Linked DNA regions of Callithrix jacchus. The protein of the gene in region 1 purifies or fractionates together with the protein of each later gene. This does not show direct contact. Links are inferred from orthologs where the notes say so. Each region holds a gene or a part of one and is shown in the gene's direction. Other genes may lie near its edges.

Region 1 (3,748 bases):
GGATCACGAGGTCTGGAGATCAAGACCATTCTGACTAACACAGTGAAACCCAGTCTCTACTAAAAATTCAAAAAGTTAGCTAGGTGTGGTGACGCGTGCCTATAATCCCAGCCACTCGGGAGGCTGACGCAGGAGAATCGCTTGAACCTGAGCTGAGATGCTGCCACTGCACTCCAGCCTGGGTGACGGAGCGAGACTCTGTCTCAAACAAACAACAAAAATAAAGTGCAAAGTTCATATTCTCTTTGGGAAGTGGGGAGCTTTAGTGGAAATGGTAACAATTGGAAACCAAAAAACAGACAATAAAAGGGATAAGATAAAATGATAGATTAGTAACAAGATACCAGGACTCCTGAAGCAGACATATTGCTACCTTAAAATTATTAACAAACTAGTTTCCCCATGGTTTTAGATCCTTTCTGTAATCATAGCTAGGAACTGGTGTTCTTATAGGCAGTATCGTAGAAAGCTGTACTGTACTCAGTGCATCCTGTAAATGGATGGGAAAGGTTTGGATGGTCATCTGTCACCAGAATAACAATGTTTAGGAGTAGCTTGGACACTAGTCATTGATTCACTTTTATTGGTGTTTGTAATGTCAGTATGTTGACATCACTGTGCAGCCCTTATCAGATTGTGAACACCAAGAGTACCCTAACGCTGGCCCGCAAGCTGTTTACAAATATATTAGCTTTTATAGATGATGATAGTGCCCTTTAAAATATGGAGTTCAGAGTGGCACAAAAAATGTGTTTCTAATGCAAACTACCCTCCTTCCCAGGTGCATGTCTTTGGTTAAGTTTATGGCTGAAATCAGACTGTAGTAAGATATCTGTAAAAATAAAAATAAATAGAAATAGAAATTTCCCCCAAGAGATTGAAATGAAATCCCACCCTAGACTACGAGTCCCGTCATGCAACGCTCCCACATTCCCACCGTGTGGGGCGGAGTCGTAGTAGGGGCAGCAGCGGCAGCGGCCTGTGGATTCTGGGTATTGTAGTCTGGGGCCCGGCCACTGCTGGGGCTGGTCCCACGTGGTGCGTTTGGCGGCAGCTTTGGGCACTGGCTCCCCCGCTTCCTCCACACGGTCCTCAGGGTGCCGGCGCCTGCAGGGGTGGAGAGCCACCGCGGGAGCGGGCTGGGGGGTGGCCCGGAGGCAGCCGAGGCTTCGCGACGTTTTTGCGACAGCCGCGGCCGTGTTCCGCGAGTGCCCTCCCTCCTCCTCTCTTTGAGGAGGTACCGGCTGTTGTGCGGCGCTGCCTTTCTGTTTGAGTGTATGGGAGAGTGAGTGAGTGAGTGAGTGTGAGCGTGTGTGTGAGAGAGCGTGAGGCGTGAGTGCGCGTGTGAGAGGACGAGAGCCCGCCTGGCCGCCCCGCCGCTCCCGCCGCAGCAGGAGCAGAACGCACGACTGGAGAGAGCGGCGGAGCCGGCGCCCAGGGAGCCCGCGGGGACAAGGGCAGAGACACCGCTCCCCACCCCCAGCCCTCGTCCCTCGACTCTCCTTCGCCGGGGGATCCTCCCCGTTCCTCCACCCCCAGCCGGCCTCTGCCCCGCCGTCCCCCTGGATGTCCCCGGCGCTTTCGCGGGGCCTCCTCCTGCTCTTGCCGCATCAGTCAGGCTGGTGCTGCGGCCGGCGGGCGTAGAGCGGGCGGGTTCCCGGGGACTGCGGCTGCCAGTGCTTCCCCGGTCCCCACCCCTGCCCCCCCGACCCCCCGACCCAGCTCTCCGGCCTCGGAGGCTGTGACAATGGACTATGACTTTAAAGTGAAGCTGAGCAGCGAGCGGGAGCGGGTCGAGGACCTGTTTGAATACGAGGGCTGCAAAGTTGGCCGAGGCACTTACGGTCACGTCTACAAAGCCAAGAGGAAAGATGGGTGAGTGTGTGTGTCTGGGCCGGTGTCCGCGCCGGGCGGCGCTCCCGCAGGCGGAGGCAGGTAGCCCGGAGGGAGAGCGGGCCGCTGGGGTGCCGGGTTCTGACTTCCTCGACGCCGGCATCTGGCTCCGCCAGCCGGGTCTGGGGAGGAAGTGGTGTACGAGGGATCCAAACCCACAAGAAATCCTGCGTGCCGCATCTGTGTTGTGCTTTGGTGGTAAGAGGGAAGAGGAGCCTCTGCACCATGGGCTGTATACTTTTCAAGGATTTCAAAGCTGATTTATGAAAAAATTCGTTCTAAAACGCCGGGTTAAATGATTTTCTTCCTTTGGTGGATTTATTATGGTAATCTGGGGATTTCCTCACCCGCCTCTGGAGTGTCATCCATCGGTCTAGAAGGAAGGCTGTGATCCTTTCCCCCACCAGTTTGTGATCGATTTTTAATCAAATTTGGGTTTTATTTGAGGGAAGGAAGGCAGCGAGTAATGTGGTTCTGAAGAGAGTTCCCCATAGTGATCATCTGCAACATGAATGTTGCAATTGCTATTTAGATATTATTAGCTGTGAATTTTTACATAGAACAATGGGGGTTTGGTGCAGGGTGGGTGGTGGGGAAGAAGGCAAGTGACATAGGTACTATCTCATTCAGGCTGTTTTCCCCAAATTTAGCGGTTGGCAGTGAACTTTAAATAATCCCTTTGCTTTAAATATTCTTCCCTAGTAACAACTTAATTAAATGTATGACTGGTAATGCTTCCAATTTAGTTTCTTAACAGGCAAGTGAAGTGTTCATTTTTTCTCTTTGTCAGTAGATGAATGTCTTGTAATATTGACGAAAGAGAAGGCAATTCTTAGTTGGGGGGAAAATATATTTTATTAACTCCAGGTTTTCTTGTAAAATGGGTGTTGTCTCTTGCCTTTGACAGAATAGAAAATTATTGAAAAGTCAAAGCTTATTGTATAATTTTTGGATTTTATTAGATACAAAGTAGCATTACTTGAACATCCCAGTTTAGTTACCTGCTATATGATGTTTAAACTAATCACTTAAAATTTCACATTAGGTAGGAGAGTATGTTCAGACTACATCAGCACTGAAAAAACCCAAACCATTCATAAAGCTGAAGTTCCCTGATGTGGGGGAGGGGGGCGCATATTTATAAATACTTCAGTATTCTGGATGTGGAAAAAGAAAGTGGGTATTTATTCAACATTTTTCTTAGATTTACTGAGATATCTTTCTAAAAGTATTTAAAATGGACTCTACGAGGAAGGTAGGAGTTCTGATTAATTTGGAATGTGTATTGTGGTGCTTTTATGCAACAGTAAAGTGGTACAGATCGGCAGAAGGTAGGGATTTAGATGTGAAAACTTGATACTCTGGGCGCCGCACGTGTTTAAAGGTACTTTTTTTTTTTGAGACGGAGTTTCGCTCTTGTTACCCAGGCTGGAGTGCAATGGCGGGATCCCGGCTCACCGCAACCTCCGCCTCCTGGGTTCAGGCAATTCTCCTGCCTCAGCCTCCCGAGTAGCCGGGATTACAGGCACGCGCCACCATGCCCAGCTAATTTTCTGTATCTTTAGTGGAGACGAGGTTTCACCATTTTGACCAGGATGGTCTCGATCTCCTGACCTCGTGATCCACCCGCCTCGGCCTCCCAAAGTGCTGGGATTACAGGCTTGAGCCACCGTTAAAAGTACTTTTTAGCCGGATGGATTGTCTGGTGACATTGGAGAAATCAGCGTCTGGAGATACTGCTGACTCGTTGTCTAATTAGACTTATCGTTGAAGTTTTACTCTGTGATGACATATGTTTTTTAAATTATGTTTGTTAACTTATTATACAATATTTTTCAAAACCTTTAAACCATCT
Region 2 (3,748 bases), about 26 Mb from region 1:
GTGGTGGGTGCCGGTAATCCCAGCTACTCTGGAGGTTGAGGCAGGACAATCGCTTGAACCCAGGAGGCGGAGGTTGCAGTGAGCCGAGGTTCTGCCACTGCACTCCAGCCTGGGTGAGAGAGCGACACTTCATCTCAAAAAAGAAAGAAAGAAGGAAGGAAGGAAGGAAAAAGAAAGAAAGAAGAAAGGAAGGAAGGAAGGAAGGAAGGAAGGAAGGAAGGAAGGAAGGAAGGAAGGAAGGAAGGAGAGAGGCCGTCGCGGTGGCTCACGCCTATAATCCCAGCACTTTGGGAGGCCAAGGCTGGTGGATCACAAGGTCAAGAGATCGAGACCATCCTGGTCAACGTGGTGAAACCCCGTCTCTACTAAAAATACAAAAATTAGCTGGGCATGGCGCCTGCGCCTGTAGTCCCAGCTACTCGGGAGGCTGAGGCAGGAGAATGGCTTGAACCGAGGAGATGGAGGTTGCGGTGAGCCGAGATCGCGCCATTGCATTCCAGCCTGGGTAACAAGAGTGAAACTCTGTCAGAAAGAAAGGAAGGAAGGAAGGAAGGAAGGAAGGAAGGAAGGAAGGAAGGAAGGAAGGAAGGAAGGAAGGAAGGAAGGAAGGAAAAGGAAGGAAGGAAGGAAAAGGAAGGAAGGAAGGAGAAAGAAAGAAGGAAAGAAAGAGAAAGAAAGTTTTGAAACTAAAAAAATGAGAAAAGAAGCCGGCGCGGTGGCTCACGCCTGTAATTCCAGCACTTTGGGAGGCCAAGGCGGGCGGATCACGAGGTCAGAAGATAGAGGCCAATATAGTGAAACTCCGTCTCCACTAAAAACACAAAAATCAGCTTGGTGTGGTGGCACACACCTATAATCCTAGCTACTCGGGAAGCTTAGGGAGGATAAGCGCTTGAATCCAGGAGGCAGAGGGAGATTGCAGTGAGTCGAGATCGCACCACTGGACTCCATTCTAGCAACACAGCGAGATTCCGTCTCAAAAAAAAAAAAAAAAAAAGAAGGAAAGAAAGGGGAATTAATTGTGCTAGGCTGTCTTTGAATGTCATGTTACAATGCGCCACTAGCTTTCTTAGGACATAATTATTGCATCTAGTATCTCACGGAAAACATACATTCCTGATACCAATAGCCTTTGAAAAGATAGTCTTTCAGTAGAGAGATCTGGAGATTTTAATTTGCGAGTTGTTTAACTGCTCAAATTAAAAAAGAAAATGCTGGTTTCCGCAGGGGAGCTGTAAGTTACTGGCCCGCAGTTTTAACAACCAGCAGCGTCAGGCCTGAGACAGCCCAGAGCAAAGACAGGACTAGCTTGAAAGAAATCTCGCGAGGCCCACGCATTGACCAATATTCGCGAGATTTCGATGCCCTGTCCTCTTCCTCCCTCTGGCAGGACCACGGTTTATCTCGCGAATTTTGGGAAGTTCCGTTGGGGAAGATGGCGGCGGCCTCGAGCACCCTTCTCTTCTTGTCGCCGGGGACTTCAGACTGATCCTTCCCGGGAAGAGTAGGGACTGCTGGTGCCCTGCGTCTCGGGATCCCGGGCCAACTTGTTTTCCCCGTTAGTGGCGGGGAAGGGCTTATCCCTTTGTGGCAGATCCAGGCTCTCCCCGCCTTCAGGATGAAAGCTCAGGGGGAAACCGAGGGTAAGTGACCGAGGGGGAAAGGAGGGGGCGGGACACAATTTGGGGAGCCGGTTTGTGAGAGGAGGTTCCTGCCAATGTCCGATAGGGGCCACTTTACGGGCATAGAGTCCAGGAGAGGGAATGTTTATGAGTTTTAGATTCTCACTATACCTTCCTTGGTGAATATAGAGCTCCGACTTTGGGGTGATGGGGACTCTCAACTTCTGTGAAGATTTCCTGATCGACTAGGGACAGTCGGTTGGGCCTCAGGGCACTTTTGGCTTAAAGTGGTGGGAGACCGGGCCAGTGAATACAAAACCAGCTTACATCTCGTTCCAGAAGAGACGTCTGAGTAAATACAGGGCTGTGGGTAAACGTACTGGAGGATATTTTGGCATAAATGAAATGATTAGGTCCTTATATTTATTAGCAGCCAGCAGTTCCCTACAATGTCAAGTGTTCAGATCCCGTGCTATTGTGTGTTTTTAAACTGCACTGAATTTCATTTTTTTTTCCCTTTCTTTTATTGACTGAACTAAGAACTGCAGAAAAACAAACTTTTCTGTGGAACTTTACTAAGATTCTCTAAAGTTCCACACTCCAGTATAGATGCTTCCTTAGCATTTTGGGCATAGTTCTGTTGATACAGTGAGCTGTATTATTGTTTGTTTATCTTTTTCAATTTACTCTGAGCTTTGCAGATTAGGGACCTTGCCTGATTAATTTTTGTATAGTTTCTGGCACGTAATAGTTGCTCAAAAAATAAGCGTTGACGTAAATAGTCGCTCAAAAAATGTCTGAGCATTGAAGTAAAGTTACCTATCAGCAGGTTTCTCAAGGACAACAAGAAGTATGTTTTGGAGGAGAGGTCAAAAGGTGGGGCCGGGTGCAGTGACTCACATCTGTAATCCCAGAACTTTAGGAGGCTGAGGCTGGAGGATCCCTTGAGCCCAGAAGTTAGAGACCAGCCTGGGCAACATAGTGAGACCCTCTCTCTACAAAAACATAAAAAAATTGGCTGGGCGTGAGGGCCTGTAATCCCAGCACTTTGGGAGGCCAAGGCAGGTGGATCACCTGAGGTCAGGAATTCAAGACCAGCCTGGCCAATATGGTGAAACGCCATCTCTACTAAAAATACAATATTAGCTGGTCATGGTGGCTTGTCTGTAATCTCAGCTACTTGAGAGGCTGAGGCAGGAAAATCACTCAAACCCAGGAGGTGGAGGTTGCATTGAGTCAAGATTTTGCCACTGCACTTCAGTCTGGGCAATGAAAGTGAAACTTCATTTCAAAAATAAATAAATAAATAAATAAATAAATAAAAAATTAGGGCCAGGCAGTGGTTCAAGCCTGTAATCCCAGCATTTTGGGAGGCCGAAGCAGGAGGGTCACTTGAGCCCATGAGTTGGAGACCAGCCTGGACAACATGGCAAAACCCTGTTTCTACAACAGATACAAAAATTAGCTGAGCGTGGTGACACAAGCCAGTAGTCTAGCTACTTGGGAGGCTGCGGTAGGCAGATTACCTGAATCCTGTAGGTCAAGACTCCGGTGAGCCAGGATTATGTTATTGCACTCCAACCTGGGTGACAGAGTGAGACCCTGTCTCAAAAAAAAAAGGAAAATTAGCTATAGTGCCAGCTACTCTGAAGGCTGAGCTGGGAGGATCACTTCATCCTGGACCTTGGGAGATCGAGGCTGCAATAGGCTATGATTGTGCCAGTAGTGCACTCAAGCCTTAGCTACTGAGTAAGACTGTCCTTTTTTTTTTTTTTTTTTGAGACAGTTTCACTCTTGTTGCCCAGGCTGGAGTGCAATGATGTAATCTCAGTTTCCTGCAACCTCTGCCTCCTGGGTTCAAGTGATTCTTCTTAGCCTCCCAAGTAGCTGGGATTAGAGGCATGCACCACCACACTTGATAATTTTATATTTTTAGTAGAGAAGGGGCTTCCAAAGTGCCAGGATTACAGGCGTGAGCCACTTAGCAGAGCCTGGCTATTTTTTTCTTTTAAAGTGGTGGGATCTTGTTACGTTGCCCCAGCTGTAGTTGAACTCCCCAGCTCAAGTATTCTTCCACATTGGCCTCCCAAAGTGCTAGCTAGGATTATAGGTGTGAGCCACAATGT
Region 3 (3,748 bases), on another chromosome or scaffold:
CAGTCATCTCTATCTCACCTGTTTCTCCTCCCCTTGGTACAGGCTGCAGAGCTCCACAGAAAAGGGGATCAGAGTGAGACTGGGCTTCACAAGTCTTGTGATGTATCTGCAGTCACCTCTTCTGCTTATGCTGGGGGAGAAGGAATCCAACATGCCTCCCATGGAATGGCTGCTGAAGGAGCAGCAGCAAGGACAGCAGGTGGCATGGCAGGAACAACAGGCCCCAGAGCAGGTGTGGCAATAGCAGGCACAGCAATGAGTCCTGCAACAGGCGCTGTGAGCATAGCAGCAAGCAAACCTGCAGGCCCAGGCCAGGTGACCACAGCGCTGGCGGGAGCAGCCATCAAAAATCCGGGAGAAAATGAATCCAGCAAGTCCATGGCAGGTGCTGCCAACATATCCTCAGATAGTATGAACTTGGCCTTGGTGGGTGTTGCAAGCACCTCCTTGGCAGGTACTTCTTCCACCACGATGGCGGGGGCCGCCCATCTCTCCCAAGACAGCAGCTTGAGTATGGCATTTGCAGGCAGTATGACGACAGGCAAGTGTGTGGCAGAAAGAACTCAAGGACCAGCATTGGGACCCCTCGTGTCCACCTTGCAAAGCGAAGGCTACATGAGTGAACGGAATGGAAGCCAGAAGCTTTCCCAGCCCAGTGCTGAAGCCTGGAATGAAAAAAAGGAAAGAAGAAAAAAGAAGGACAAACGTCCCAGTAGGAAAAGTTCCCATCACCGCAAGGCAGGTGAAAGTCACCGCAGGACAGCAGGAGACGAGACCCAGAAAGCATCCTCCCACCGGTCTATATCCGGCCATAAAAACACGAGAGATGACAAAAAAGAACAAGGGCGCAGCAAGGTAAGGGGCAAGGGACGTGGCTCCTCTCGCAAGAGCTCCAGCCACAGTTCCACCAAAAAGGAGTCGAGAACAACTCACAAACTGGGGAAGAACCGATCCACATCTAGTACAGGAGCTTTAAGTAAGAAACCCAGTAAAATCATGTCTTTTTTAAGGAGCCTCAGGGCTACTGCTGGTTCAAAAACAAGGGTCACATCACACGACAGAGAGGTAGACATCGTGGCTAAGATGGCGGAGAAGCAAAACATAGAGGCCAAAGTGGAGAAAGCCCAGGAGCTGGAGGTGATCAGTGGCACTGTGACATCCAAGATGATGGAGATGACCATCTTTGAAACCAAATCCATTTAAATAGGAGCCAGGGCTACAACTCCCAGGGATCTGGGAAGTATCCCTAGAGAGCCCATCCCAGCTTTCTTTACTGCAGTTTAAATAATAAAGGAAATCATACAACCCCTAAATAAATAAAATCTCCTGTTTGAATTTTTTCTGCCCCATAGCCTGGCAGTGACTTCACAGTGGCTTCTGTGATGGTGACCACATTACAGCCTGAGACCCCAGCCTCCAGGCAGGTAGAGCCCTACCACCCACCCAGGCCCAGCAGAGCCAATGTGAGTGTTTTGCTTTGCCTCAACCCCTTTCTGCCTTTGCTTCCCCTAGACTGTCAAAGTCACAGATTAAGAGCTGGATGCACCACCACCACGTCCCCATGCCCATTCTCTTCCCTGAATGCTCCTGAACATGGACATTCAGTCCAGTCCATAGACTAGGCAGAGACAGGATTCACATCCCCTCAGAGGGTATTCAGGGGAGGAAGGAGCAGTGCAGCAGCATTTGTAGGCAATTAGAATAGGAAATCTATGCATCTAGATCAGGAATTGGCAAACCATATTCTGAGGTCCAAATCTTGCCAGCTGCTTGGATTTGTAAATAAAATTTTACTGGAACATAGCCACAGCCATTCCTTTGCATATTGTCTATGGCTGCTTTCACGCTAAAATGACAGATATGAGTAGTTGCAATGGAGACCATATGGCCTGCAGAGTCTAAAATATTATCTGGGCCTTCACAGAAAATGTGCTGACTCTTGATCTAGTCTTAACAAGTCTTCCTCCTAGGTGTAGACAGTGGAGAAATTCTCACATATGCTTGCCAGTAGACAACTAGGAGAATGTTTATAGTAAAACAAATTGTAATAGCAAAACCCTGGAAATCCTCAAGTGTTCATCAAACAGGAGAATTAATAAGCTATGAAATAAACTACAGTGCATAATCTACAACAGTGTAAATGAATAGCGGCTATTAGAAAGGATACATTTTTTTTGTTTTTTTTTTTTGAGATAGAGTCTCAGTTTGTCACCCAGGCTGAAGTGCAGTGAGGTGATCTTGATTCACAGTAATCTTGGCCACCCAGGGTCCAGCAATTCTAGTGCCTCAGCTTCCAAGTAGCTGGGATTACAGGCATGTGCCACCATGCCCAACTAATTTTGTGTATTTTTAGTAGAGACAGGGTTTTGCCATGTTGACCAGGCTGGTCTCAAATTCCTGACCTCAAGCAGTCCACCCTCCTTGGCCTCCCAAAGTGCTGGGATTACAGGCATGAGCTACTGTGCCCAGCTAGCATGGATAAATCTCACATAATATGGGATACTAAAAGCAAGTCACAAAAATATATATGATATAGTTCAATTTGTAGAACAGTTCAAAAATAAGATTCAACTATGGGATATATATTTGCTTAAAGTATAGAGAAAAACAAGGAAATGATAATCACAAAATTCAGGATATGGATAAAAAAAGGAAAGAAGAGAAAGGGTAAAGGGAGAGATGTCTGATCTGGGAGGCACACACAAACAGCTTCAACAGAATCATGATTATTCCATTTCTTAAACAAGAGGGTGTATTCATGGAGGTTTGTTATTGTGTCTTTATTTTAACATCTCTGAAATCAGGATTGTTTTTAAATCACTTCCAGCAAAGTGTCAATTGTATGTCACTGCCTTAGAAACGCCCTATCCAATTTATTTCACCAATGTTTTCCTTTTTACACCCACACAAGAGAGATTTATGACAAAAAAAATCTAACTCTGAAAGACATCTTTCAATAGGTACGAAACAAAAATTCTAAGTAACATAAAAATATTCAGAATATAGAAACATGGAAAATGTTTAAATGTATTAAGAAATAAAATAGTCCAAAATGCTGTGTACTAACATGATGTAAATTATGTGTTCATGTGGAAGTTAATCCCTAGAAACGGGATTGTAAATTTTAAAAAGTTTTATTGTAAAAAAAATTGTCTTTCCATTAAAAAAAAAAAAACCTGTAAAATGAATCCATGAAAAACATTACAGTATTAACATCAGATAATAAAAATTCAATTTGAGAAAAATGATTCTGGGAGCCATGTGTGTTCATGTAAGTCCAGGAGGGGAGCAACTGCTCAGCCTTTTGAGTCTTTGCTCATTCTCTGCAGCAGTACCTTGGAGGACAGAAGTTGAGTTTCTGGCAAAACTTAGGGACTTTCTCTGAAGACCAAATATGTGTAGTGCAGATGGAGGAGGTGAGAAGCAAGGTATTCTGGGAGGAGTAGTGGCCTGTCAGTATCAGGGGAATCCCTTCTCAGTTGCTCTGGTGGGCGGCTGGAAAATCTCACCTTGTGGCTTTCAATAAAGACCATAGAACCTGAGATTAAGATGTTCTGGGAGTCGACTCTTGAAACAGTGGATACAGTTAGATGGAGAGAGAGAGGCACACACTCAGAAGTCTGAGAGGGCCTTTGGGAAAGCCACACAGGAGTGTGACAGGTTGGCAGGTGGGGTAGAGGAGAGAGATAAAGCGGAACTCCTGTCAAAGCCTTTGGTCTGGAGTTCCAGACTTACAGCTATGCCAGAG

The links.
Region 2: the proteins of CDK8 (region 1) and MED1 purify together in Homo sapiens (affinity purification with mass spectrometry; 14 studies listed by BioGRID and IntAct, counting the BioPlex papers as one, with this or other methods). This does not show direct contact. The link is inferred for Callithrix jacchus from reciprocal best matches to the Homo sapiens genes CDK8 and MED1.
Region 3: the proteins of CDK8 (region 1) and MED7 purify together in Homo sapiens (affinity purification with mass spectrometry; 7 studies listed by BioGRID and IntAct, counting the BioPlex papers as one, with this or other methods). This does not show direct contact. The link is inferred for Callithrix jacchus from reciprocal best matches to the Homo sapiens genes CDK8 and MED7.

Annotation. Positions count from the first base shown.
Region 1 is NC_133506.1:145,427,588-145,431,335, forward strand, and holds the start of CDK8 (cyclin-dependent kinase 8), read left to right. Parts: upstream 1-1,231; 5' UTR 1,232-1,747; coding exon 1,748-1,875; intron 1,876-3,748.
Region 2 is NC_133506.1:119,911,318-119,915,065, reverse strand, and holds the start of MED1 (mediator of RNA polymerase II transcription subunit 1), read left to right. Parts: upstream 1-1,415; 5' UTR 1,416-1,618; coding exon 1,619-1,643; intron 1,644-3,748. UniProt on the Homo sapiens protein: Component of the Mediator complex, a coactivator involved in the regulated transcription of nearly all RNA polymerase II-dependent genes.
Region 3 is NC_133503.1:19,918,491-19,922,238, reverse strand, and holds the start of MED7 (mediator of RNA polymerase II transcription subunit 7), read left to right. Parts: upstream 1-1,418; 5' UTR 1,419-1,463; intron 1,464-3,748. Other genes in the region: GARIN3 (Golgi-associated RAB2 interactor protein 3), read left to right, coding at 43-1,203. UniProt on the Homo sapiens protein: Component of the Mediator complex, a coactivator involved in the regulated transcription of nearly all RNA polymerase II-dependent genes.